Linked DNA regions of Sus scrofa. Each later gene encodes a partner of the first gene's protein in a complex. Links are inferred from orthologs where the notes say so. Each region holds a gene or a part of one and is shown in the gene's direction. Other genes may lie near its edges.

Evidence for each region. Proteins that work in one complex are often made in the same cells at the same time.
Region 2: PPP4R3A (region 1) and PPP4R2 share a complex: the UniProt entries of both Homo sapiens proteins name them as parts of the PP4 complex. The link is inferred for Sus scrofa from reciprocal best matches to the Homo sapiens genes PPP4R3A and PPP4R2.
Region 3: PPP4R3A (region 1) and PPP4R4 share a complex: the UniProt entries of both Homo sapiens proteins name them as parts of the PP4 complex. The link is inferred for Sus scrofa from reciprocal best matches to the Homo sapiens genes PPP4R3A and PPP4R4.
Region 4: PPP4R3A (region 1) and PPP4C share a complex: the UniProt entries of both Homo sapiens proteins name them as parts of the PP4 complex. The link is inferred for Sus scrofa from reciprocal best matches to the Homo sapiens genes PPP4R3A and PPP4C.
Region 5: PPP4R3A (region 1) and PPP4R1 share a complex: the UniProt entries of both Homo sapiens proteins name them as parts of the PP4 complex. The link is inferred for Sus scrofa from reciprocal best matches to the Homo sapiens genes PPP4R3A and PPP4R1.

What each region holds. Positions count from the first base shown.
Region 1 is NC_010449.5:113,123,478-113,128,043, reverse strand, and holds part of PPP4R3A (serine/threonine-protein phosphatase 4 regulatory subunit 3A), read left to right. Parts: intron 1-1,182; coding exon 1,183-1,260; intron 1,261-1,342; coding exon 1,343-1,459; intron 1,460-2,161; coding exon 2,162-2,317; intron 2,318-3,237; coding exon 3,238-3,369; intron 3,370-3,469; coding exon 3,470-3,572; intron 3,573-4,566. UniProt on the Homo sapiens protein: Regulatory subunit of serine/threonine-protein phosphatase 4. May regulate the activity of PPP4C at centrosomal microtubule organizing centers.
Region 2 is NC_010455.5:54,323,113-54,328,370, forward strand, and holds the start of PPP4R2 (serine/threonine-protein phosphatase 4 regulatory subunit 2), read left to right. Parts: upstream 1-1,865; 5' UTR 1,866-2,110; coding exon 2,111-2,144; intron 2,145-3,147; coding exon 3,148-3,229; intron 3,230-5,258. UniProt on the Homo sapiens protein: Regulatory subunit of serine/threonine-protein phosphatase 4 (PP4). May regulate the activity of PPP4C at centrosomal microtubule organizing centers.
Region 3 is NC_010449.5:115,410,628-115,415,861, forward strand, and holds the start of PPP4R4 (serine/threonine-protein phosphatase 4 regulatory subunit 4), read left to right. Parts: upstream 1-1,841; 5' UTR 1,842-2,006; coding exon 2,007-2,126; intron 2,127-3,629; coding exon 3,630-3,703; intron 3,704-5,234. UniProt on the Homo sapiens protein: Putative regulatory subunit of serine/threonine-protein phosphatase 4.
Region 4 is NC_010445.4:18,261,215-18,266,209, forward strand, and holds the start of PPP4C (serine/threonine-protein phosphatase 4 catalytic subunit), read left to right. Parts: upstream 1-1,602; 5' UTR 1,603-1,720; intron 1,721-1,946; 5' UTR 1,947-2,012; coding exon 2,013-2,110; intron 2,111-4,995. UniProt on the Homo sapiens protein: Protein phosphatase that is involved in many processes such as microtubule organization at centrosomes, maturation of spliceosomal snRNPs, apoptosis, DNA repair, tumor necrosis factor (TNF)-alpha signaling, activation of c-Jun N-terminal kinase MAPK8, regulation of histone acetylation, DNA damage checkpoint signaling, NF-kappa-B activation and cell migration.
Region 5 is NC_010448.4:98,461,144-98,466,225, forward strand, and holds the start of PPP4R1 (serine/threonine-protein phosphatase 4 regulatory subunit 1), read left to right. Parts: upstream 1-1,689; 5' UTR 1,690-1,800; coding exon 1,801-1,807; intron 1,808-1,898; coding exon 1,899-1,943; intron 1,944-2,519; exon of another isoform or gene 2,520-2,585; intron 2,586-5,082. UniProt on the Homo sapiens protein: Regulatory subunit of serine/threonine-protein phosphatase 4. May play a role in regulation of cell division in renal glomeruli. The PPP4C-PPP4R1 PP4 complex may play a role in dephosphorylation and regulation of HDAC3.

The sequences.
Region 1 (4,566 bases):
AAATGCCAGTTTTACTCATTAAATACGAATAATTTCAAGTTACGTCTTTGTTTCCCTACAGTATGCTCTGTAAAATGCTGGCTGCCAGTTGTGTGGGTCTTTCTGTTTCTGTTGATGCAGAGTGTTTATATTCAAAATACTGTGAAAGAAGGAGAGTTTACAAATTTCTTTGATGAGAAGCAGTTCTTAACCCATCTTATACACAGTCATAACCCTTGCCCTTGACTGATTTCTATGTAACACTGTTAAAACAGTCTTGATTCTCTAAACTTTGTGGCAGTCTGGAGAATCATTTTTAGTCATTTGATTTCCATTTGGTGGGATATATTTTAGCTGGATCTTGACATTGGAGATGACATTTAAGGTATGGCCTATTTGTACATTAGGCCATAGAAAAGTAAAAGTGGGAATCACTAGCATCACAGAAAATGTTTCTTAAACACCCACGGCAGCGAATGTGGGGTTTATAAATCCGTGGAAGGTCTCACACACACATACACATATTTAGACTTCGGCGGCATGTCTGTAAGGCTGAAGTAGTATGGAATTAAAATATAATAAAATCTTAATTAAAAATAGTTATAGACAAAATTGAACAGGAAGTCAGAAATGGTTTAATGTAGAATAATACGTGTTAAGTTATTTTGTATTTGTTTTGTGTGTGTATCTTTAAATAATAGATGTTTCTTAATTCCAAAGTTCTGAATTTAGCTTTTTAACTATTGCTGTTTTTAAAATGTGAAGGAAGTTTTATCTTCCTTTGAGAGGTTGCAGAAGCCCAGTGAAAATGAGGGGTCTACCAACCGTGTTTGTTTTCTTTCATAAAGTAATACTCATTCATTGCCATATTGCCTGTGTCTGCTTCCTACTGTAACAACATAACAGAGTAGTTGTGGTAGAGACCATATGGCCCACAAAGCCCAAAATTTTTTAAATGTGGCCCTTAACTACCTTAGGAAATAGAGCCTTGCTGAAATATAAAGTATAATCTTTCTGTATAAATCCCCAGTTTATCCTTTAATAATTTTTTCCTTCTCTTTTAAAAAACAGCATTGCCAATACCATCTTTCCCTTTTCCAGTTATTGCAATTTATATCTTCTACAGTAACATCTTGAAAATGTATTTTATTATATACTCTTACTATTATTAGCATAATTAAAATCTATCCTTTGATTTCACAGGAAGATGAAAAATTTCTGACAGATTTGTTTGCACAATTAACAGATGAAGCAACAGATGAGGAAAAAAGACAGGAATTGGTAAGAAATTTGATATTATAAAGGCCATGAAGCTAAAACAATACAACCTATTATGTTCACTTAACCTTTTTCCTAATTTCAGGTTAACTTTTTAAAAGAATTTTGTGCGTTTTCCCAAACGCTACAACCTCAAAACAGAGATGCTTTTTTCAAGACTTTGTCAAACATGGGTATATTACCAGCTTTAGAAGTCATCCTTGTAAGTTTGTTTCTCCTTATATTTAATTACCATTATATTTTTAACCCACAAAATAGTATATTTTTATGTAACATGCAACTGTTTGATTATAGCTAATATTTAACATCAGCTGTGTATTACATAAAGTTAAATAGCTATAAAATTCTAGTATTAAGAGAGTCCTTACACAGTGCTAAAAGGACAATTACGGAATTTTCCATATTTTTAACAATTTAACTTTGCATCATATTAAAATGCTGGAGTTCCCGTCATGGTTCAGTGGTTAACAAATCCGACTAGGAACCATGAGGTTGTGGGTTCAGTCCCTGGCCTTGCTCAGTGGGCTAAGGATCCAGCATTGCCGTGAGCTGTGGTGTAGGTCACAGATGTGGCTCGGATCCCACGTTGCTGTGGCTGTGGTGTAGACCAGCGGCTACAACTCCGATTAGACCCCTAGCCTGGGAACCTCCGTATGCCGCAGGTGCCGCCCTAGGAAAGACAAAAAGACAATAAATATATAAAATGCTAGAGGAGAAAAATAAACGGGAAAAAATGAAAGTATAACTTTATCCCATAGAACAGTAATTTTACATACAACATAATTTCCTTGACCTCTCCTTTTTATTGAAATATATTCTTATAATTTGTTAGGGTTTAGATTTATATAGCTGCAAGTTCCATATTTTTATTATTATAGAAGAAATAAGTGCTTTTTACCTGCAGGGCATGGATGATACACAGGTGCGAAGTGCTGCTACTGATATATTCTCATACTTGGTTGAATATAATCCATCCATGGTACGAGAGTTTGTCATGCAGGAGGCACAACAGAATGATGATGTAAGTAAGAAGTTAACAGAGCAAAAAATAACCAACAAGGTAAATATTATCTTCACTAACAGTAAGTATTTATACGTGGGGAGCTATAACTATATTTATTATTCATTTCTTAAAGATTTAGTCAGTGTTTGAGAAAAGTATACCCATGATATCATGACTTATTCTTCCCCTAAATTGGCTCCTGAGTTTATAAATTGTTTTACAGCAGTTATTTGTTAATGCTCAATTTCAATTTCTTTTAAAATTTTTGAAATTAAGTTTTTTAACTCTGAAGTTAACTTGCTATGTTATAATGTTTAAAACCATTTCATCAATAAATTGTTCTTCTGTATGTGGAATTATGAATAACTTCCCTAAGAAAGCATTGGCTTTGCTAGGGATAGAGGTCTCAAAATTATCAAGAATGATGAAGCATAGTCCTTTGGAAAGTATTTAGGATGCTTTCTTTACTGCCTGACCAACCATAGGGAAAACCATTTATTTTAAATGGAAACTTTATATCATTTCTGTAAAAGGAGAACAGATAAAGTTATCATTTGCCATAGAAGGAATCTATAAAAATGCAGTAAAAGAACAGTGTTATAAATTCTAGCTAGATAATCGTACTGTTAAAACTATGAAGCAAAGTCCCATTAGCTTTCTTCAGAAGAGAGATTTTATTATTAAGAGTTCTAAAAGATCTATTAGCACCAAACTGAAACTTTGTTTTTATTTTAATCCAGGGGATTTAAAGATAATAAAAAAAGAACTTTTTGGTACTATTTGTGTAATGTGTCTGTACCATACCTTTGGGAAACTACCATATATCCTATTAAAGATTCCAGTCAGTCATTTCATTTTGTTTGCAGTTAACAAGATAGCTAGAGCCAGGTATAATGCTATAGCATGTGTCATAGTATATGCTTTTTCCATCCTTACTCTTAGTAAGTGATCCTTATTATGTATATTTTTCCCACCAGGATATTTTGCTCATCAACCTCATTATAGAACATATGATTTGTGATACAGACCCTGAACTTGGAGGAGCAGTCCAACTTATGGGCCTGCTTCGAACCTTGGTTGACCCAGAAAACATGCTAGCTACTGCCAATGTAAGCCGTGGGCATTTTTCTCTTTTTCATACTCGTGTAATTTTGATTGCTGGTAGGAACCAATGCAGTTAAAGTTCATGAAGTGTTTTTGATTCCTTAGAAAACAGAAAAGACTGAATTTCTGGGTTTCTTCTACAAGCACTGTATGCATGTCCTTACTGCTCCATTACTGGCAAATACAACAGAAGACAAACCTAGCAAAGGTAAGATAATACAGGTTGGTAGTTAAATTCTTTGTTCTTAAACTTTGAAACTCAGAAGGTTGGTGTTAATATAGAGGTTTAGTAACATATTTTCAAAAGAGGTAATTTCAAGGTAAAATTTCTTTCAAAAGTGCTATAATCAGGAGTTCCCATTGTGGCTCAGTGGTTAAGAACCCAACTAGTATCCATGAGGCTGTGTCTTTGATCCCTGATGCAGCTTGGATATGGTGTTGCTGTGGCTATGGCATAAGGTGGCAGCTACAGTTCCAATTCAACCCTAGCCTGGGAACTTCTATATATCACAGGTGCAGCCCTAAAAAGAAGAGAATGTGCTATAATCAGAGATAATAGAACTGTAAAAGAAAATACTTAAGATACTTATTTGCTGCTTTCTGAATTTTGAAGCCATTTTTTTGTTAAAGCACTATTTGTATTTAGTTTCCATTTACATACGGAAACAAACAGCGTGAAGTAGCTCTGAGACAATTCATTTTAAGTTATTTGTACTTGAGGTGTGTAGACTGAGCAAAGCTGGTACTCAGTATTAAGCTGTTTTTATTTGCATTGAAGATTATTACAAAGTTAGGATTATTTATTTCTGCATTTTATTCCCTTAGTGTGTGTGATTTAGAAAACAGTTTTAGGGTCTTCTTGGGAAGTTCCTTATTAAAGCTTTGCGAATAAGTTACTTTGTCATATGAATTATCAACATAGTATATTTAACTTATAGTGCCACTAGAAAATGTTTAGTTTACCTTTTTTGTGACTCTAGAAATCAGGTCTTAGAAACATGATACTCATTTCTCCTATTTTACATACTATGAGTAATGCTTGAGGCCTCTCCAGACTCATGTGTTCATGAAACATTGAGAACCTATTGTGTGGAAGGCAATGTGCTGTATATTTTATATATGTGTGTGTATGTGTGTGTGTGTATATATATATATATATATATATATATATAAAATCTTTAGGGGTTAAATGGGGGAAATGA
Region 2 (5,258 bases), on another chromosome or scaffold:
CCACAGATGTCTTATGGGAAGACACCTGCCTCAAGAGAGTACAGGGGCAGAGAGAGTGGAGGCTAAGCTTTGCTACATAGAGCAATGGCTCCTTCAGACTGGAAGAAACCGCAATAAACTAAATCTAGTGCCTCTGAAGTGCTGGCCAAGTGTAATGGTGCACCCCCCATAAGACTATTTATAATTTGAGCAGGATGCTTGGAACAATGAAATGGTCTAAAGATATTCCAAGACTGGTTCTCTTACGGCCAAATTGAGAAAAGTTTTTTTTTCTTTCTTTCTTTTTTTTGTTTAGGGCCACACACACAGCATATGGAGGTTCCCAGGCTAGGGGCCAAATTGGAGCTGTAGCCACTGGCCTACACCACAGCCACAGCAATGCCGAATCGTTAACACACTGAGCCAGGCCAGGGCTTGAACCTGTGTCCTCACGGATACTAGTCAGATTTGTCTCTGCTGAGCCATGCATGGTGGGAACTCAGAGAAAAGTTTTTTGGGTTTTTTTTTTTTTTTGTCTTTTTGCCATTTCTTGGGCCACTCCCATGGCATATGGAGGTTCCCAGGCTAGGGGTCGAATTGGAGCTGTAGCCACCAGCCTATGCCAGCGCCACAGCAATGCGGGATCTGAGCCAAGTCTACAACCCACACCACAGCTCACAGCAACGCTGGATCCTTAACCCACTGAGCAAGGTCAGGGATTGAACTCGCAACTCCGTGGTTCCTAGACGAATTCGATAACCACTGAGCCATGACGGGAGCTCCAGAAAAGTATTTTTTTTTTTTTTTTTTTTTTTGAAGGAGGGCTTTTGCCTACCTCTGCCACCTGGGGTCAGGGTCAGAGCCACTATCTTTTCAGAGGGTTAATAGTTACAGTGCCTGTATCCAAATTCGCAGTTTCAACACCAGTCTAGATAATAGCCTTCTGCCCTCCCTTCGTTTCTTGGCTTTTTACTAGGCTTTGAGAAGAGAAGGTGGAACAATTCAGTATCTTTTCCTTAAAAAGCTCACAGACAAGAGAAGATAATAAACATGGCCACACACTAGCTGGTTGCCAGATGTTCTAGGCTCTGCTGCTATTTTGCCAGACTAGCTAGCTCTCTGTGCCTCAACTCTCCCATTTGTAAAATGTCAGGGCAGGAGAGGACTTCTGAGGTCTCCGCCCTCTCTGACTTCCTGGGCACTTACATAATGTAATCAAAATTATAATGATAATAATAACAGCCGCATTAGCAGAGCCGCATTATGAATTCTAGGCATCGCGCTCCATGCTCCAGTGTCATTTCACTCAATCCACAGGACTGTTTTGTTAACTCCCATTTTGTGGATAAGAAAACTGAGGCTACTTGAGTTTAACTAACTAGGTCACACAGTAAATGGTAAATAGTAAATAGCAGTTGGGTTTTAAATCCAGGGATTCCGTTGCCTAAGCTTCTAATCCCTTTGCTGTGTGCACTGCTTCTCTTCAAGGGTGGATCAGTGAGGAGTTCTGGATTCAAGCAGGGAGGTATTTTTGTCACGATTATTAGCAATGACTGTTTTTTTGTGCGTACTCTGACCGCTATACTGTATACGGTGGTCCATACTAGCGCCCTCAGTGTACAGATGGGGAAGTGGGATTCAGGCTCAGTAAACTGCTCAAGGTCACACAAATAGCAAATGACAGGGGATCATATCCTGGAGGTCTGCCCCCACCCTCTCCACCTCCAGCTCAGCTCCCGCACCTCAAGCGCCGGGTTAGGGAAGAAGCAGAGAGGCCGCCGCGGACCAGGTCTGAGGGCTGGCTGGGTCTGCACGCCTCCGCCGCGCACGCGCTCTCGGGCTCCGGGTCCGGGCGCGCCGCGGGCGCGAGGACGGCAGCTGGGAGCGTGCGCGCGGTGACGTGCCGGGCGCCATGTTGGAGGGCTGGTGGTAGCGGCTCGGGGAGGTGCTCGCTCTCTCGGTCTCGCTCTCTTGCTCGCTTCCCCCGGCTCCCTTCGGTGCCCCCCCCGGTCGCCTGCGTGCCGGAGTGTGTGCGAGGGAGGGGGAGGGCGTCGGGGGGGTGGGGGGAGGCCTTCCGGTCCCCGGGAGACCCGCGGAAGGAGGCGGAGGCTGCGAGGGACTCCGGGAAGCCATGGACGTCGAGAGGTTGCAGGAGGCGCTGAAAGGTGGGGGTTGCTGCCCCCTCTCCCTTCCTCTCAGTCTTCGAGGCCCTCTCCTTTCTCCTTTTGCGGCGGGGGGCTCCGCGGGCCTGGGCCGGGCTGGGAGGAGGGCGCCCTTCACCAGCTCCCCTCCCCCTCCCACCTCCCCAGGGGCGGGGAGCCCCGTGGGCAGCTCCCTCCCGCCCCGCTCTGGGCTTTGTGTCGGCCGCCGGCGTCTGGGCTGGGGGAGGGGAGCCGGGAAGCCTTCGCTGGGGCCCCGGCCCCTCTCGTACTCCCCGAGCCCGGGTCGTGGGCCCTCAGCCCCCTCCCAGGCGAGCTTCGTTCTCCATCAGGCCCCCGCACGCCGGACTTCGTGGGGAGAGAGAAAGTAAAAGGTTTCGGGGGGTGGGTAGAGGGGCGGCAAAGCAACTTTCAAGTGTCTCTCGGAAAGCCTTTTTCGGGGCCTCTGAAGTCATTTCTTAACGCGCCCTAATTTTAAGGTGGTTGCCTTCCCCGCTCTGAATTGGCAGGCTGGCCTTCCATGCAACAGGCTTGGGAACAGTGGTTCTCAAACTTAGGATAGCGTGATTTCAGCGTTTTGAGAAATAGGCGTTTTTGGGAGATAGCTACAAGAGGTAGTTGGTGTTTCTTAAAATGTAGATTTATGAACGTACCTTAAAAACAATTTGTGGGCATCGGGATCTGGGGTTTGTATTTAATCAATCTCAGATGGATCTGGTCTTGGTGTTCCCTTGGACCACACTTTGAGAAGCATTGCATTAAGGATGGTTTGTGGAGAAATTTAGTGCCCCCTTTAGGACGAGTCTTGTTACCTGTGAAGAGGTACATTTGAAGTCGAACTAGGAGAGTCAAGAGGTGGATATTTGGTTGAGAGGCTGATTTTTAAAAATTTTTAAATTGATGCTTAATATGAGGAAGGACTGGGAGGAAAGTTTGTTTTTAGAGGACATTGGAACTGGTTGGTGCACTTTGAGAAATACTAATAACTTTTCTTTCTTTCCTTATCTAGATTTTGAGAAGAGGGGGAAAAAGGAAGTTTGTCCGGTCCTGGATCAGTTTCTTTGTCATGTAGCCAAGACTGGAGAAACAATGTGAGTGAAAACACGTAGTCGTTGTTATAGTTCAATGTATCCTTCAGAATTGCTTAGACAAGGGACTAAAGTCTATTTCAGAAGCGTTGAATAATTCATCTGTCTAAACTGTACAAGCCCAGTAATTTAAAGCATGTGTTAAGTGTATATAGCTTTATTTACTTCATAGTGCTCTATAATGAATTTTAAGAATTTGTTAAAATTTTCTTTGTGCGTTTGCACATGTAGTATTTATTATTCTCGAAGAGCTAGAGAAAGGAAGACTGCATATTCCATTATGACCACTTTTGGCCATAACAAACAGGCTTATTTCCAGAATTTTGTGGCTTTGATTCTGTTTCAGATTCTTTTGGTGGTATTTTCTCATATTGTCCAGTATTCAACCTTTTGTTGTTGTGTTTATATATGTGGGTGCTTGAAGTTTCACTTCTGTTTATTCTCTTGAGCTCTTAGGGTGATTATCTGACATATTCCAGATGCTACAGTTTTGACTGTCCTGTAAACTTTCTAGGATAGCTAGCTTGTTAACATATGCTCAGCATTTTATTAGGCTTGTTTCCAAATGTTGTGATGAAGTTGAGAACTGTTTCCAAAAGAACATTTTAGTTCATTGTTGTGTGTGTAGTTTGTTTGCCAGGAGTTTTCACACTGAGTCTACGTTTATTTGTAGAGAGAAGTGCAGATTTGGTGATTTACTTGTAATCTTTGTGTGAGGGATAGGGAGCTGGAAGGGGAGAGGTTTCTTTGGATGTAGTATTAAAAGGGGGGCTCTTTTTGGCTCCTCTATAAATGCCTAGTTTTATTTATTTATTTATTTATTTTTTTGAGATCTAATAGAAGAGTATTAGCTTCCACAAGTGATGTGTACTTGCTTTGGCTTTATTACCAAATGTTCGTTTCTCACAAGATTGCTTACATTTGCAACTTAGCCTTCTGATAACTAGCCTGATTTTAGAAAGAAAAAAAAAAAAACTATTTTAATGGTCAGGCAGGCAAGCTGAAACTCTTTAGTGCTTATTAAAATTATTAGTCATCTTAAGAATGTGACATGATATGTTCAATCTTAAATTTTTTATCTAGTACTTTTAAAAATGGAACCCTTTACGGGAAAAAAAAGGCAAATTTTTGCCTCAAAAGTACAGTAGCTCAGATACCTTGATTTAAAAAAATTGATGCAGAATGACTGATTTGTATTTGTATTGGTTGCTAGTGATCCAGACTTTTACCTGTCTACAATATCAAGAGGAATAGCATTTTACTTTCAGAGTTTTGACAGACAAGATTATTTGGAGTTAAATACTTAAAACCTCTAGGTCTATACCAACTGCCTTCCCATTTTGATAAAATGCATTGACCGTAAATGCGTAAGTAGTTGAAAGTTTCTATAAGAAAGCTTTTAAATATCCTGTCTGACTGGATCACTAAGTGCCTGGGGAAATTTAACCTGATTTTTCTGGACAATTATTTTTCCTGATAGAGGACTTAAGAGGTCATCAGTTGTCTCAACCCTGTCTCTTGTCCACCCCCACCCTCCAATCCTTAGGGGTTTTTTTACATTTACTAAAGTATTTTGTATAAAAATGATTGGTGGTGTTAGTTTCTTCATGGAGTTTGGAAAATATTTTAAAATTTATGATTGAAACGGTTTTTACATTTAGCTTTTATTTACCCTTTGTTGATTTTTTAAAAATCAATATGGGCATACCTTAACTTTTGATACATTAATTTGTAGTTTCTGTCATCATTTACGGGTAAACTGAGTTTGGTCTAACTTGTAACATTATAAACATGAGAGTGAAGACCTAAAGAATAGCAGTTCAGATCTTTTTAATGTTAGGTTGGATGGGTCCCTTAATATTAAGAATTCTGGGAGTTCCCTTCGTGGCTCAGCAGTTAATGAACCTGACTAGGATCCATGAGGATGCCAGTTCAGTCCCTGGCCTTAACTCAGTGCATTAAGGATCCGGCGTTGCTGTGAGCTGTGGTGTAGGTTGCCGACTTGGCTTGGATCCCTAGTTGCTGTGGCTGT
Region 3 (5,234 bases), about 2.3 Mb from region 1:
CAGTAGGAAATAGAGCAGAAAGTCAGCAAAGATGTAAATAAGTAACTCAGATGGAAAGAATCTCAATGGTTCTTAAGTACGTGGAAAAATGGTAGTCACTGATCATTAAAGAAATGCAACGGGGGCCTGCTGTATAGCACAGGAAACTCTACCCAATTTCTGTGATAAGCTATAGGGGAAAAGAATGTGAAAAAGAATGGCTGTGTCTACATTTATAACTGAATCACTCTGTTGTACAGCAGAAATGATCACAACATCATGAATTATACTTCAATAAAACTTTAAAAAAATGAAACAAATGAAAATTAAATGTGATATTACTTTACCAATGCCAGATTGACATGAATTAGGACATGATACCAAATGTCAGCACATAAAATGGAGAAACAGGAACTTTCCTATCTTCATAGGCCATTGGTGGGAGTGCAAACTGGCAAAGCCATTCTGGAGAGTACTGAGGCCGAGTGAAGCCAAGCAATACAGACACATGACCCAGCAACTCCATGTCTTTCTTATGGTCCATAAGAGACAGGTGTAACACCCCTTCCAGCATGGTCTGTGATAACAAGGAATTGCTGGAAACCCAACTGTTCCTTATTTAAAGAACTGATAAGTAAAATGTGTTAGAGTGGGTAAATCAAATACTTTCGGTGGCTTGAATTAATGAACTCCTGGCATATATATATCTCCAGATAGATCTCCAAGATATGTTGAGGGAAAAACAAGAAACAGAATCCGTTATCACAGTAGCATTCATGTCTATTAAAAAATAGTTAAACTAAAAACAGTATATTTCCATGATATATACATGTACTGGAACATAGCTTAAACGAGAGAGGGTGCATATGGGGTGGGGAGTGGTAGAGAAATGGGAGCGTGCAGAGGGAATGAACATACCAGAATGACATAAAAAAGAGATGGGCCTTGCTCACTCTTAAGAGCTGAAGAGTATTATCAACAAAACGCTAGTCCCTGAGGTCCAAAATAATCGCCCCAATCCCCTCCCTATCGCTTCCTACTCTTAACACAATCAAACGCAACCAACTCAACGTGGCTGCTTAGAGTTGGCCTCTTCCTCTCTACCTTGCCAAGCACTCGGTTTCCCGCACTTCAAGCTCTACTCCGACTGCATGCACGTCCTACAACCAAAACACGCCCAGGCTTCAATCCGAAAGGGGCTTACTCTTACTTCTTTTGGAAAAGTCTTAAGATTCAGTTTAACTCCTCTCAGGGAATCCTGTAATGCCGGCGGTCTTTCCCTCAATGCTAGCTCCTCCCAGACGGCACTCCCTAGTACTCCCCTCTCCATCAATCCAGCACACACCAAGTTCTATTTACTTATTTTGGGTACACACCGCTCCCCCAAGGCTAGAGCAGAGTTACGGTGGTCTCCGCATCCACAACTAGAGCGCTGGGGAGGGCGGCCCCAGGAATAACTGCACGGTTAGGTGACCCTAACAAGTTAAGCAAGATCCCAGTCCACCTCCCTCTCCTTTTTTCCCCTCGTACTGGTACACCACCAACCCCGGACCGGGTTACCGACCCCAGCCCACCCCCACCGGCTGCAGGAGGTGGAAGTCTCTGCGCACGCGCCACAGCTGGGGCGCGCGCTCGACCGGGGGCGGGGCGAGGGGGAGGGGAGAGCAGAGAGGTGAGGGTTGCGGAGGGGGCCACTGCGACGTTGCGTGGCAGTTGCGTCCCGCCCGCCGGCCGGCAGAGCCCGGGAGGGGGCGGGGCTGAGGCGGGCACCGCCCCCGCTCCGGCCCCGCCCCCGTAGCTCGCCCGCGCGCCTCGCCCCGCCCCCTCGCCTAGGCCGCCCCGCCCCTCGCCTAGGCCGCCCCGCCCCCCTCGGCGGCCGTGCTCCTTCTCCCGCCGCCCGCTTGCCTCCCGCCCGGCTCTCGCAGCCGAAAGCGGGAGAAAGTCCTGCTGGTGGGCGGCCGTGGGGCTGCGCACGTCCGGCATCCCGGGGTCGCTCCGGCCCGGCCGGCGAGGGGGCCCGGCGGTCCATGCATCCGCCGCCGCCGCTCGCCGCCGCGATGGATTTCAGTCAGAACAGCCTGTTCGGCTACATGGAGGACCTGCAGGAGCTCACCATCATCGAGAGGCCGGTCCGCCGGAGCCTCAAGGTGCGCCCCGGGGTGGAGGAACTGCCCGCAGGGCGCCCGGCGGCTTGCCCCTGCCCCGACCCCCGCCCCTCCGCTCCCCGAGGCGGCCCGGGACCCTCTTGGAGTCCTCCTGCCCCCCCAGTCCTCCTTCAGTCCCCGGTCCCCGTGTTACCCTAACATGGCCCCTCTCGGGTCCCCTTCCTCGACGCCCCCCGGGCTCCCCCAGCCTGGACCCCCCGACCCCGAGGGACGGGCACCCGGGGCCCGCCCGCGACCCCTCGGACGCCCTCGGTTCTCTAATTCCCCCGGCCCAGCTGGCCCTGGGCCCTTTCCCCAACCCGTCCCTCTAGGAACGGCCAGCCGAGCCCCTGACATTCGGACCAGCCCCGCGCCGTCCCTCTCGTACAGCCAGGGCCCCTCGGTTGCAGCCCCTCTTCCCGCGTCCCTGCGGTAGCTGCCCCTCGCAGTCGCAGCCGCAGCCAGCTCAGCCTGGGTCCTTTCCTTGCCTCCCCGCTTTGGCTCCCTGGTACTGCTGCCTGGGTTCTGGCCCCAGTCCCATTCCTCAGTCAACACGGCCCCGACTCTTGCCCCTGCCTCTTCCAGAGATACGCCAGATCCCATCCCCCCTCCGCCCCCATCAGAGCAAGCCCAGGTTCCCCAGTGACCCCTTCACTCCCAACTAGCACCCATACTAGAGTCGTCCGACCATGGGTCTTCAAAGCTTTCGCGACCCTTTGTCCCCATCCTGAGTCACCACGCGTCCTCTCCTCCCAGCCCCTCTAGGACTCTAGCTGGGACCCTGCTCCCCAGCCCCCTTAAGGGAGTCAACCTTCACTAGCCCCCCACCCCCACCTCCCACTAGCTCCCCCACCCCGCAGAGTCATCTTCCTCCCAGAGGCCCCAACCCTTCACTGCTGGTAAACCTAGTTGACAGGACCCGACCTCCCTCCCGCCCCCCGCCGCAACACACAGACACACAGACACGCATCCACTTAATAAGTCCTTCAGCTCTTTTCAGTCTCACCTGCCACAATAGCTGGAATCTTTGATTTCCTTCCAGTTCCAGAGTTTAGTCCCTTCCCCACCCAACCCCCCTCCAGATTTCGTCTTTCTCATCCTCACTCGGCTGCAGCCTTCATTCCCCCTTTTAGCATTTCCTGGGCTAGAAAATGCTGGCAAAACAGTCTTGGGATAGTAGAGATTAAAAGTATGTATATATTTTATATATGCACATAAAATTGATTTCAGCACGGTTCTGAAGCCACAATGTCATTCTCCAGCTTCAGTCTAGAAGCTGGAAGAGTAAAGCAAGGAAAAAAAAAAAAAAGCCCCAAACCCCCAAACTCCACCACCTAAACCCAATAATTAGAGAAGCCTGTGGTTTGAGCTCGTCAGACCCTTGATTAGTTTTCAATGACAGTGCTTAATTGTGAAACTTTTTCATTAGTCTCTACTCATATAGGGTCCCTGGAGGCAAGACTGATCAGATGTTTGTGTGCATAATTTGTATTTTACACTTGACAGACACCAGAAGAAATAGAAAGACTGACAGTTGATGAAGACCTCAGTGATATTGAAAGGGCTGTTTATCTGCTCAGGTACTTCATAAAGTCTTTTGGTGATAATTGCTGCTCTTTTCCTGGGGCGGCATCCACGAGTGACTTCTGAAATGCCCTGTTACTGTTATGTTCAGATTTACTTAACCACTTGACCAGAGTACTTTTTGCATGCATAGCACTTAATGGTGTTAGGAATTAAGATTTAGATATGGATTTATAACGTTGAAAATGAAAATCAAATCACCCAACTGAGAGAATATTGTTTGAGGAGGAGGAGCAGAACAACTGATGGTTTGAGTTGAATCTCATTTAAAAATTTTTGCAGCTTTGGTTCTCACTTAAGATCCAATAAATTTAGATGAGACTTAAGACTATCCAAGTGATTCATTTTAAGTGAATTGTAGAGTATGATTTTCTATGCTATTTACTGAACAGAAAAAAAATCCACAAATAGGGTAGTTCAATTTTTTTCTTCAGCTTATCCTGTTTATATTACTTCTGCTAAGTGAGCTTTATAGTTTTGCCTGAGAGATTTAAACATTTAATTGAGCCTATTCTCACTTAAATTTCATCTCACAAGCTCTACAGAATTGCTTAAGGCTAATGGCTTTTACATATATTTACAAGATTTCTCTCAACTCTCTTAAAAACTGTATTGTGGATTTTGCTTCTTAAAAGCTAAGGTGACCCATTAATGAACAGATCTAAAAAACTTAAATAGAAATTTTCTCAAGGTATTTTGTCTACATTGTTTTAGAATTTTCGTTGAACTTGCACAATTTTTTGGTCCCTTTTTTGGCTAGTTTTCTCTTTAGTTTTTCAGAACCTGGTGGTGGTTACCTCCTGGAATATTTGTCATCCTTGTTTCCTTAGCTCAGGTCTGCGTTGCCAGTTTCAGTTTCTTGTTCTTTCTGGCTTTATAGATCAGGTTTCTGGTCCCATGTGAGTCAGTGAATGACCCTGTTTTTTTTTTTTTTTTTTTTTTTTAAAAAACCTCTTTCCTTGACTTCCATTTTCTTAATTATTTACAGCCTATTAGTGACATTTTGGGTTCTGTTCCTATTTTAGTCAGAATTTTAGCATGCTTACAATTTGGACATTTTCTTCAATAATTCTGCTATGTAAAACTGTTTCCGGATCATGGCCTTTATGTTGCTGATATTTCCCCATCTCTTTTGTGATTTATCATCATTTCTACTTACTTATTGAAAAGAGAATGTTTTATTTATGTATGTATTAGCGGCATATGGTTTTGGCATTTACATAGAGAATACTCTGTTTAACCTGTTCTGGTAATTTTTTGCATTACATGTGAAGGCTTTCTTCCTTAGGGATTAACACATCCAACATGGTGAACAGTAGCTGTAAACACCTGCCTTTCCCCACAGTTCTTTTGTTTGGAGTAGGTAGACAGTTGGTGAAAATTAGGATAAGTTTCTTTTAACATAAAGCAATTAATAATTTGAAGGCAGTGCCTCCTTACTCCTACTGAAGCGTCGCTGTATAAATGCTGGCTTATGGTTAAGAAATGAAGAGTCTTGCTCTACTTACTGGTGACAGCAGATACTTT
Region 4 (4,995 bases), on another chromosome or scaffold:
TGGAAACTTCTAGGAGTTTAAGAACTTGGTTTTTCCTTCTCTCTGTACATTCCCATTTGTTGCCTACATCCAGAACCAAATTTTTACCTAGTGCCTCTCCAAACTATGGTCTCACTTCTGCACCTAGCCTCACTCAATTCCGTGAAACAAAGTCTGAAGCAAACAGAAATAGAGGCTCTAGGAGTTCCATTATGGCACAGTGGTTAAAGAATCCGACTGGGAACCATGGGGTTGTGGGTTCCATCCCTGGCCTTGCTCAGTGGGTTGAGGATCCGGCGTTGCCATGAGCTGTGGTGTAGGTCGCAGACGCAGCTCCGATCCTGCATTGCTGTGGTTCTGGCGTGGCCGGTGGCTACAGCTCCAGTTAGACGCCTAGCCTGGGAATCTCCATATGCCACAGGAGCGGCCCTAAAAAAGGCAAAAAGACTAGGAAAAAAAAGAAAAGAAAAAGAGAGGGCCCATAGAAGACAATAAAAGACATTCCAAAAGGGCTCTGACACCAAGAGGTTTGTTTCAAGACAAATCGCTTCCTCTGCCTGCAGCAAGAGACTAAAGAAGCAGAGGACTTTAAATGTCAGTTTGGAGTGTTTTATAAAGTTTATAATGACAAAGTGAGCATCAGAAAGTGTGACAGAAGAGACCAGACCTTGAGGACACAGCTTTCCTAGGTTAAAACATCAACCTTGACCCAAGCCCAGAATTATTAGCTATGTAACTGTGGAAGTTAATCTCTTTTAGCCAGTTTCCTTTTTTTGTTGTTGTTTTTTTGAGGGCTGCACCCACAGCATATGGAAGTTCCTAGGCTAGGGACTGAATCTGCCTGCCACAGCCACAGCCACACAAGATCTGAGCTGCGTCTGCAATCTAGCAACCTGCATCACAGCTCACAGCAAGAGAGATCCTTAACCCACTGAGCGAGGCCAGGGATGGAACCCTTCACCTCATGCATACTAGTCGGGTTCCGTACCCCTGAGCCACAACCGGAACACCAGTTTCCTCCTTCTTTTTAAAGGAATAAAACTGCAGACAAGAGCAGGGGTGAGGGGTGTCAAAGAGACCTTTCTGGAACCAGGGAAGTCAGGTTGACTGAGGTATAAGCTTGTTGTGGGGAAGGTGGACTCCTTTCTGACTCTAACTTCAGAGGTCCTCCATCGGAGAGATGTCTCTTGGGCCTTGGAAAGAGATTTGGACTGGGAGTCTTTCGCCCATCCAACAAAGAGTTCTGTATGCCAACTGTGCCAGGCCATGTTCTAAGTGAGAACTGGGGCTGCAAGTGTGAACAGGACAAAATTCCATCTCTCAGGGACTGTAATGGGGGAGGCCGACTAAAACAGGTAAACAGAAACGTGTACGCTGAAGTTACAACGCGGAACGCCGACTCAGTTCCAGTTTCCTTCACTGACACGGTAATGTGGAGCGGATGTGGAGTCCGTCACCGCCCTCACAGCGCCAATCCGCTCAGCCCACAATCACTTCCGCTCGCACATTGCAGACATCCGGTTCTTCCGGCTCATTTGCATTCCTAGGCTTGAGGGGGTGGGGTAAGGGCGCGGCTTGGGAGGGGGGCGTGTGTATGACGCCACATCCGGCGCGCGGCGGAACTGGTGTTCCTCTGCTTCCGCGGCGGGGCCGGAAGTAGAAGCGGAGGTGGCGGCGGCCCAAAGCGGAGGGAAAGAGGAAGACAGGGAGCACGAAAACCGGAGCCGGAGTCGCTGCGTCGGTAATAGTCGGAGACCCTTCTAGGCCACCGTCCCTGGCGCGGGACCTCAGGGTTCGACGGGAGTTAGCGGAGGGCGGCCCGGGCTGTGGGACGCTGGGGGCCCCGGGGCCTATGTGAGGGGAGGCGGGAGTTGGGGGGGCCGGGCCAGCTCCAGAACCGAGTTGCCCCCCCCGACCCGGCGCCCCTTAAGGACACTGATCCGCGGCTTCTCCTTGGCCTTTCCCAGGAGACCCCTGTGCGGTGCGGAGGGGGCTACGGCCCCGGCTCTGACCCGCTCCGGGGCGGGTGGGCCATGGCGGAGATCAGCGATCTGGACCGGCAGATCGAGCAGCTGCGGCGCTGCGAGCTCATCAAGGAGAGCGAAGTCAAGGCCCTGTGCGCAAAGGCCAGGTGAGCCCGGGAAGAGAGGCTTCAGCCACTGATCAGAGGCCGGAAGCTTGGGGCAAATCCAGCTGAGAACTTTGGGCCTGGCTCATCCTGGAAGCTTTCCCAGAGAGGAGCGAATAGGGCCACTTCCCTCGAGGAGCAGCCGGGCCTGTTGGGGGAAGACAGACCTGGATTCAAATATCTGAAGTATTAGATGATGTGTTTTCAGTGGAGTTGGAATTACAGAAAGTACTTAGGAAGCTTAGGGAAACAACCTTGTCTGTCTGGGGGGGAACAGAGAACGTTTCTTGGAGGAACTGAACTTTGGGTTAGGCCTTGAAGAATAAGATGATAAAAGGGAATGTCAGCAAGAAGATTTGGTTTACAGTATTCTTTTTTTTTTTTTGGCTTTTTAGGGCCGCACCTGTGGCACTTAGAGGTTCCCAGGCTAGGGGCTGAATCAGAGCTTCAGCTGCTGGCCTACGCCACCAGCCACAGCAATAGCAATGAGGGATCCTTAACCCACTGAGTGAGTCCAGGGATCAAACCCACAACATCTTGGCTCCTAGTCGAATTTGTTTCCGCTGTGCCACAACGGGAACTCCTACAGTATTGTTTTAATCCCAGTAACAACCCAAAAAGGTGTGTGGAATTGTCTTCATCTCACAGGTGAGGATGCTTACATTCAGGAGTAAGGGGTAAAGCCTGAAGCGAGTTCTCCATGTCCTGTCCATTTTCAGGCCATCATGCAAGAAAGTGGAGTTGGATCACACTCATACTCCTTGTGGGAGCCTATGAAATAGAAGCAGATAAGCCAGAGTAGAATTAAGCAAGATCTGAAGGGAAGCCTAGCTTAGAGTTCTGTGGGAAGTAGGATGATGTAGTGGTTAAGAGCCAGGCTTTGGAATGTGGCTCTAGGTTGGAATCAGCTCTGCCACTTCCTAGCTGTGTTGGTGATCTTGAGGTCTGTGAGACTCGGGTTCTTCCTATTTAAAGTGGGGATTCTAGAACTTAATGAGGTGGCTGTGAAGAGTAAGGGATGCGCTTAGCATAGGCTTTGGTAAACTGTAAGTGCTCGATGTTTGTTGGGTGTTACTGTTCTTCCTTTGTAGGAAGAGGGCAGTGCTGATGTGGACTGAAGTCCTTAGTGAAGGCTTGAAAGAGAAGTTGGCCTGGAAAGATGGATAATTTGGGCAGCTGAGTGGGCAGGCCTAGTAGGAAGGGCATTCCAAGCAGGCTGAGAATAGGAGTGGAAGGTGTTCCCTGGGGGCTCAGCGGGATCCAGCATTGTCACTGCTGCAGCTCAGGTTACAGCTGTGGCACTGGTTCAATCCCTGACCCAGAAACTTCTACCTGCCAAAGGCATGGCCAAAAAAAAAAAAAAAAAAAAAAGTGGAGCTCTGGGTTGTGTGGGCAGTGGTGACAAGACGACAAGACCCATTACCTGCCTCCTGAGGAACTATTTGTGGTTTCCACCACGCTGGAGAATTGCAGAAACAGAGCCAGCAGAATTACCCCCACATTTGTGACCAATAGGCCACTGTTAGCACCTGAAAGAACTTTATATCCACTTCCTTCCCACAGCAATGCTGTGAGGTTGGAAATATTTGCCCCATTTTACAGAGCAGGAAGCTGTGACGTCTTGAAGCCTGGGGACTTGACCAAGGCTTCCCCGCAAGAAGGTGGCAGAGCTGGCTGGCCGTTGGGCTCTTTGCTTGGCTTTGCCCCACACAGACCTGTCACAGCCACACAGGGCCTGCATGGGTTTGGTGAACAGGCAAGGCTCCCTTTTAAACGCTGTTCTGTGGCTCTTCATGTTTTGCCAGCTCAAAAATATTTCCTTGACCAGACCAGCCCCAAGATGTTTTTAGTCATCCCTCAATCTCTCTCTGTTTGTTTGTTTGGGTTTTTTTTGTCGTTGTTTTTTTAGGTCCGTACCCATGGCATATGGAGGTTCCCAGGCTAGGGGTCCAATCAGAGCTACAGCTGCCGGCCTACATCACAGCCACAGCAACTGGGGATCCGAGCCGCATCTGCAACCTACACCACAGTTCATGGCAACACCGGATCCTTAACCCACTGAGCGAGGCCAGGGATCGAACCCGAATCATCATGGATACTAGCTGGGTTTGTTGGCACTGAGCCACAATGGGAACTCCCATCCCTCAGTCTTGATTGGCATTTTTAGGAACTTAAACCCATTTCTGGCTGGCACTCTTCTTTTCCTCAAAGTCTTCTGCCTCCCACAGGGCCTGGATCAGTGTGGTGGTGATGACAGCTAATGCTTGGGTAGCATAGTGGAATTTTCAGAATAGCAGAAGTTAGGTGTTCAGCCTCCATTGCTTTTTGCAGCCTGTGGAACAGGCAGGCAGTGGTGAGTGTTTCACAGAAGAGGAAACTGAGCCTCAGAGAAGAGGTCTTGCCCCCGGTCTTACAGCTCCTTGGAGGGGAGGCTGGTTTTGGATTCAGGTCTTTGACTGGACTCCACACTCACTGACAGCCAGGTAGACATTTAGACTGTGAGAGGCAGCAGGGAGCTACTGAGGGATGTGGGGTCCTGCCCAGATGAAAGCGAGGTGGAGCTTGGAGGTCCAAGCCTCAGGCCTGGGGTGGCCACTGCTGTTCCAGGCCCAGTCTGGAGGAGGACCAACTCTAGCACCTGGCAGTAGGTCTAGCACCTGGGGACCCACCAGGGGCCAGGCTGAGGCTGGTAGTGTCAGTCACTTCAGCTTGCTCAGACGTCATGGAGACTCAGGTCCTTGGAATCACAGAGGCCCAAAGCACATGAGCTCAACTTGCTCCTATTGAAAACATCACATCAAGAGTTCCTGTCATGGCTCAGTGGTCACAAACTCGACTAGCATCCGTGAGGATGCGGGTTCGATCCCTGGTCTCACTCAGTGGGTTAA
Region 5 (5,082 bases), on another chromosome or scaffold:
AGGGTGAACAAAAATCAAATGTAAAAATCGTGCCTATGCCGAAAACTGTAAGGATGCCCCATTGAAATGTCTGAAAACCAAGCTGCCTCCAGGGACCAGCTGTAACATGTGGTGCAGGTAAGATGATAACTAGATGCACAGCTCCTGAACAATATGGACAAAATTACACACCTTCCTCCCTGCTGCCAATGCAGAGAAAGTGAGATAAAACACAGTGAGGCAAAAGCAGGGTTAGCCGTTCTGCATCCCTGGCTAACACTGGGTATGTAACCTCTACTTCAGCACAATCATTGAGAATTAGAAGTCTGCCTTTACTGGGTAGACCATCCAGATAGTTTCCTTATTTTTGTGTGTCCAGGAGCTGAAGCATAGTTGGCGACCTGGATCTTGTGTTGTTGCAAGGAGATCACCGCTTCGTGTAAAGAGCCAAATCCTGTGCCTGCCCCCCTCCACCCGGAATTGTTAAAGTGGTAGGTGTCATTGGGCAAAATGCTTACAGGCTGAGTCAATTGATAGCCTGTGAATTTCTAACTCCTTGTCATTTTGAGAATTAGTGTCACCTGAATTCAGGGAAGGGCCTTCTCTCAGGGAAGAAATGGGTCGTGACAGTTTGGCTCTTAGTTTTAATTACTCTGTATTTGAGAAAATAAGACACACAACTAGACTCGTAGGTGCTATTCCAGTTATTATTACTCCCAGAAACTTAACATATACTATGCAACATGCATTCCATCTTGTAGCATCTGCGAGGCAAGTTTTTGGAACAGCTAGTAGAATCCACTTTATTACACAGAATCATGAATTTCAGAGGGTCTTTAACGGCATTAAATGTAATAGTGCCCTTGGTTAAGGCCACAGTGCAGACCATTTGGAATTCTCTCTGCTCCCCAGGAGTCCAGACCCCCAACGTGGCATCACTTTAAACTGGCCTGTTCCGAAAACTGTAAGGATGCCTCATTGTTTTGTTCCCCACTCAGGAGCTGAGCCTTTCCGAGGCCTCGAGTGGAAGAGGTCGTACTCGTCATTTAACTCATGTAAAAACAAGGGAAAATAAAACCTGTGATACAGGTTTCACTCCAGCACCTCATATACCACCAAAATTGTTTCAACACTTTCAGGATAAAAGCTACAGCTAGAAAGAAGCCTTTCCTCCTGCACCGGCGGAGGTCAGGGACCCTACGCTCGGACCCAGCTGTCCCTCATTCATCCTAGTAACCCCAGGTCGGGGATCGCCCTTACTTCCGCCCCGCGCGCGCCCGCCGCCCAGGGGGCGGAACCGGCCTGAGCCCAGCCGCCCCGCCGCGCCTGGCCCTCGGCGGCTTTGTTCGCGCTTCCCGGCTCCGAAGTGCCCCGGTCTCGGCCGGAGCAGAGGCCGCGCGCGCAGCCGCCAGGGCGGGGTGTGTGTGTGTGTGTGTCTGTGTGTGTATAGAGTGGCGGCCGGGCTGAGCCCCGCCGACCGAACTGGCGGCGCCGTGACCCAACAAAGCGTGCGGCGCGAGGCCCCGCCCGCCCCGGTCGCCCGGCCCAGCACTCGGCGCGGGCCCCCGGCGGCGGCAACGACGCCCGACCGCACGCGGTACCGCGGCGGGCCGAGCCGAGAGCGCGCCGGCGGGGCGGCCGGGAGCGAGCCAGGCGGGAGGCGGGCCGGCGCGCGGGCAGGGGCGGCCGGGTCCGCCCGCCGCGCTCGGCCCGCCCCGCGCGCCCCCGCGGCACCGCCTCCCGCGCGCGTCCACCGGCCGCCGCGCGCGCCGCGCTGTAGCCCCGGTCCCCGGGCGACGGCGGAGGAGGGGGCGCCGCAAGATGGCGGGTACGGGCCCCGCGGCGGGGCGGCGGGCGGGGGGCGCGGGCCGGGGGCGGCGGGCGGCGGGCTGACGGCTTTCTTCTTTCCCTCGGCGCAGACCTGTCGCTGCTCCAGGAGGACCTGCAGGAGGACGCGGACGGATGTGAGTGCGCGCCGGCCTCGGGGCGGGGGGCTGGCGGGCGGTGGGGTCCAGAGGCCGATCCCGGCGCGGCGGCGGCTGTGGGGACGCCCGGCCCCCGGCCCTCGGTCCCCGGCCCGGCTCGGAGGGGGCGGCTCGGCGGCCGGGCGGGAGCACCGGCGGGCGGAAGCCGGGGCAGGCGGGCGCCCGGGAGCCTCCGCGGCCCCTCCCGGGCCAGAGGGCTGGGACCGTGGACAGGGTCTGGGCGCCTCCCGCGCGGAGCGGCACCGCACGCCGGAGACCCGCAGTCTCCCGGCGCCGGGGTCCGGGGGCCGGGAAGGTGGAAGGTGTGGCCTGGCGGGAGGGGCCGCTTTCCCCGCCGCGTTCCTAGGGTGCGCGGTTCGCACGGCGCCAGGCCTTCTTGAACACTCAGATGTCTGCTTTCTTGGAGATGCTCAAGTTTTCACAGTCGATTCTTTGGCTGAAAGGAAAACAAAACAAAGTTTGACATTTCCAGAGTAGCGTCAGAAAGGACTTGTTCATTTCGTGTGTGCTCTTCTGAGAACACAGAATAATTTGGAAATTGTCCTTGAGTTGCAGAGATAACCGCGGTAGAATTTGTGGTGTGTTCGGGCAGAGCTGAGATTTACTGTGGCTACTGTCGATGTAAGTAATACAGAGGTGGCTGCACTTTGAAATAGCTCTTTTAAATGCCGTGTAGTTAATCTTTTTTTGCATTGTGTAATGTGTCCCTTGCCACAAATAAGCTCAATTTTTAAAGACTGGGTGTTTTGAGTGAAGTGAGGGCGATTTACTCTTTAGAAGGATTCCTTAAAAAGAGTATTTTTTTTTAAGTGAGTGAACCATATGTAAACTTATTTTTGGCAAAATATAAGTTTACTTTTTTTTTTTTAAGTAACGAGCTCTTTTAAGGGAGCAGCGCTCAGGTAGTTAAAGACAACTTTTACATTTCCTGTGATGTTTTACCCTAGGACACTTGTCTCCCTCCTAGTGACCTTAAAATGTTAAGGTAGCTATTGGTTTTTTGCACAGTTAGGCTTGAAGACGTGGCTCTGATGAGGCAGGGGCGTCTCATGCTTATATTCAGGTTCAAGGTTTTGTAAATAGAAAACACATTCCTTCAGCAGGTGTTAAGGGCTGTCACTCATTTCTTACCACTTAGGTGCCATGCATTCGTCAAGGTTAAAAAGTGAGCTGTCCTGTTAGTTGTGCCCTTGACCCTTAGGGAACGCAACCTAGAAGAGAAGCCATACCTGTGAAGAACTCAACCATGATTTATTCATGACCCTCCAGAGTTCTGCTTGGTACTGAGGATCTACCAGTGGGCAGGATGGTCACAATCCATGCCCTCTAGTGGTTTACACGCAGTTTTAATACAAGTGTGATAATGAGGGTGTGGGGGCATGCTCGCACAGTAGTTGTTAGACGGCTCAGAGGCCAGACTGCTTTCCTCCAGTCTTCATGTCGCCCCTTTGGACAGACTCGGGCAACTCACTGAACTTCCCTGTGCCCTTATGTTGCCGTTTTTAGATTAGTGTAATTACTATTACCCACAGTCTAGGGTTGTTTAGAGCCTTGCACAAATAAATGCATATAAAACACTTAGAATAGTGGCTGGTAGATGGTGACTATTGCTTGTTTGTTGTCCCCCCCCCTTTTTTTTTTTCGCTTTTTAGGGCCATATCCTCCACATAAGGAAGTTCCCAGGCTAGGGGTCTAATCGGAGGTACAGCTGCTGGCCATAGCCACAGCCATGCCAGATCTGAGCCGTGTCTTCGACCTACACCACAACTCACGGCAACACTGGATCCTTAACCCACTGAGCGAGGCCAAGGATCGAACCCGCAATCTCATGGTTCCTAATTGGATTGTTTCTACTGCACCACAATGGGAACTCCGCAGTTAACTTCTTTAAGGTCCTATTAGTACCCAGTGGGGTGTTGTGTGTGGGTGTATTAATGCATTTGTAGCTGATTTACAGTGTTGTCCGGTGTGTTTTAACTCAGGATAAAGCGTGAGACATTTGAAGGAACAGATAATTTATTTGCATATTTGTAGTTGGTTAGAATCATTGCTTACTTTTCTAAGCTGCTACAGTTTTTACAGGTGATAACATTACCCAAGATGTTCAGGAGCAGGGGATCTTCGAATATATGGCCAATTGAAGGAGCAGTTGGCATCTGTCATGTTGGGATGGGTGAGGGGGACATTCGGTCCAGGCGAGGTGGGAAGGGAGGGAAATGGGAAGCTCGTCATATGTCACACCCAGAGCCAGAAGAGAAGCTGGGACATTGGGATGTTAGGGAGAGTGGGCTGGGCTGCCCTCACAACTGCACTGTGTTGGCCGAGCTGGTGGAGGCCAAGAAAGCTTGTTTCTGCTCAAGCTCCAGAATCTCGGTTGCCTTTTCTAAATGCAGAACTTGGACTAAGACTGAAAAGAGAGTAAATACCCTTGTGCAAGTGCTGAGCAGCTGGGGGCCAGGGAGGACTGGGTGGGCCTAGATCTGGAAAAGGGGGTTCTTGCCAGACCTTGATCAGGGTCTCAGGTCATTTGTCGGGTTTAAGCCCCTAAGTCTCTGTGCAGAGTGAGTAGAAACGTAGGTAGAAAAGGGTTGGTCAGAGATGAACTTGACAGATACTCTTGGAGAAAAAGGAACAAAACCCCAAAGTGTGAAAAGTGGTGCCTTATGTGTACTTCTCCACAGGTCGTAAAGGTAAGTGACCCAGTCGTAAGGCACTGTTCAAATCAAGCGCAGGAGAATAATGCACTGAAAAACTGTACACTCCTCTTGGTAGAAAGTGATCCTTCCAACACTGAAGAAACACACGGTGCACTTCTGAGTGAAAGCTGGCGGGTGACACACCATCTCAGCAGAGTGACTCCAGAGCTTGGGGAACCCTGCCCGCTCCTGGGACCATGGGAGGCCCGAAGTGTTACCGACAGGCTCTCATTTAGATTTCTGCTGTCAGTTTTTCAAGGACGCCATCTTGATGTACATCTGAGTTGCTAGATTTCTAGAATACATTGAGATGGGGCTTAAGTAAGATTTAACAAGGTAATGCTGATAAAAAGAATTGCATGGAAGGGGTTTGATTTAAAATTTAACTTTTTGAGGAGTCCCCATTGTGGCATGGCAGAAAT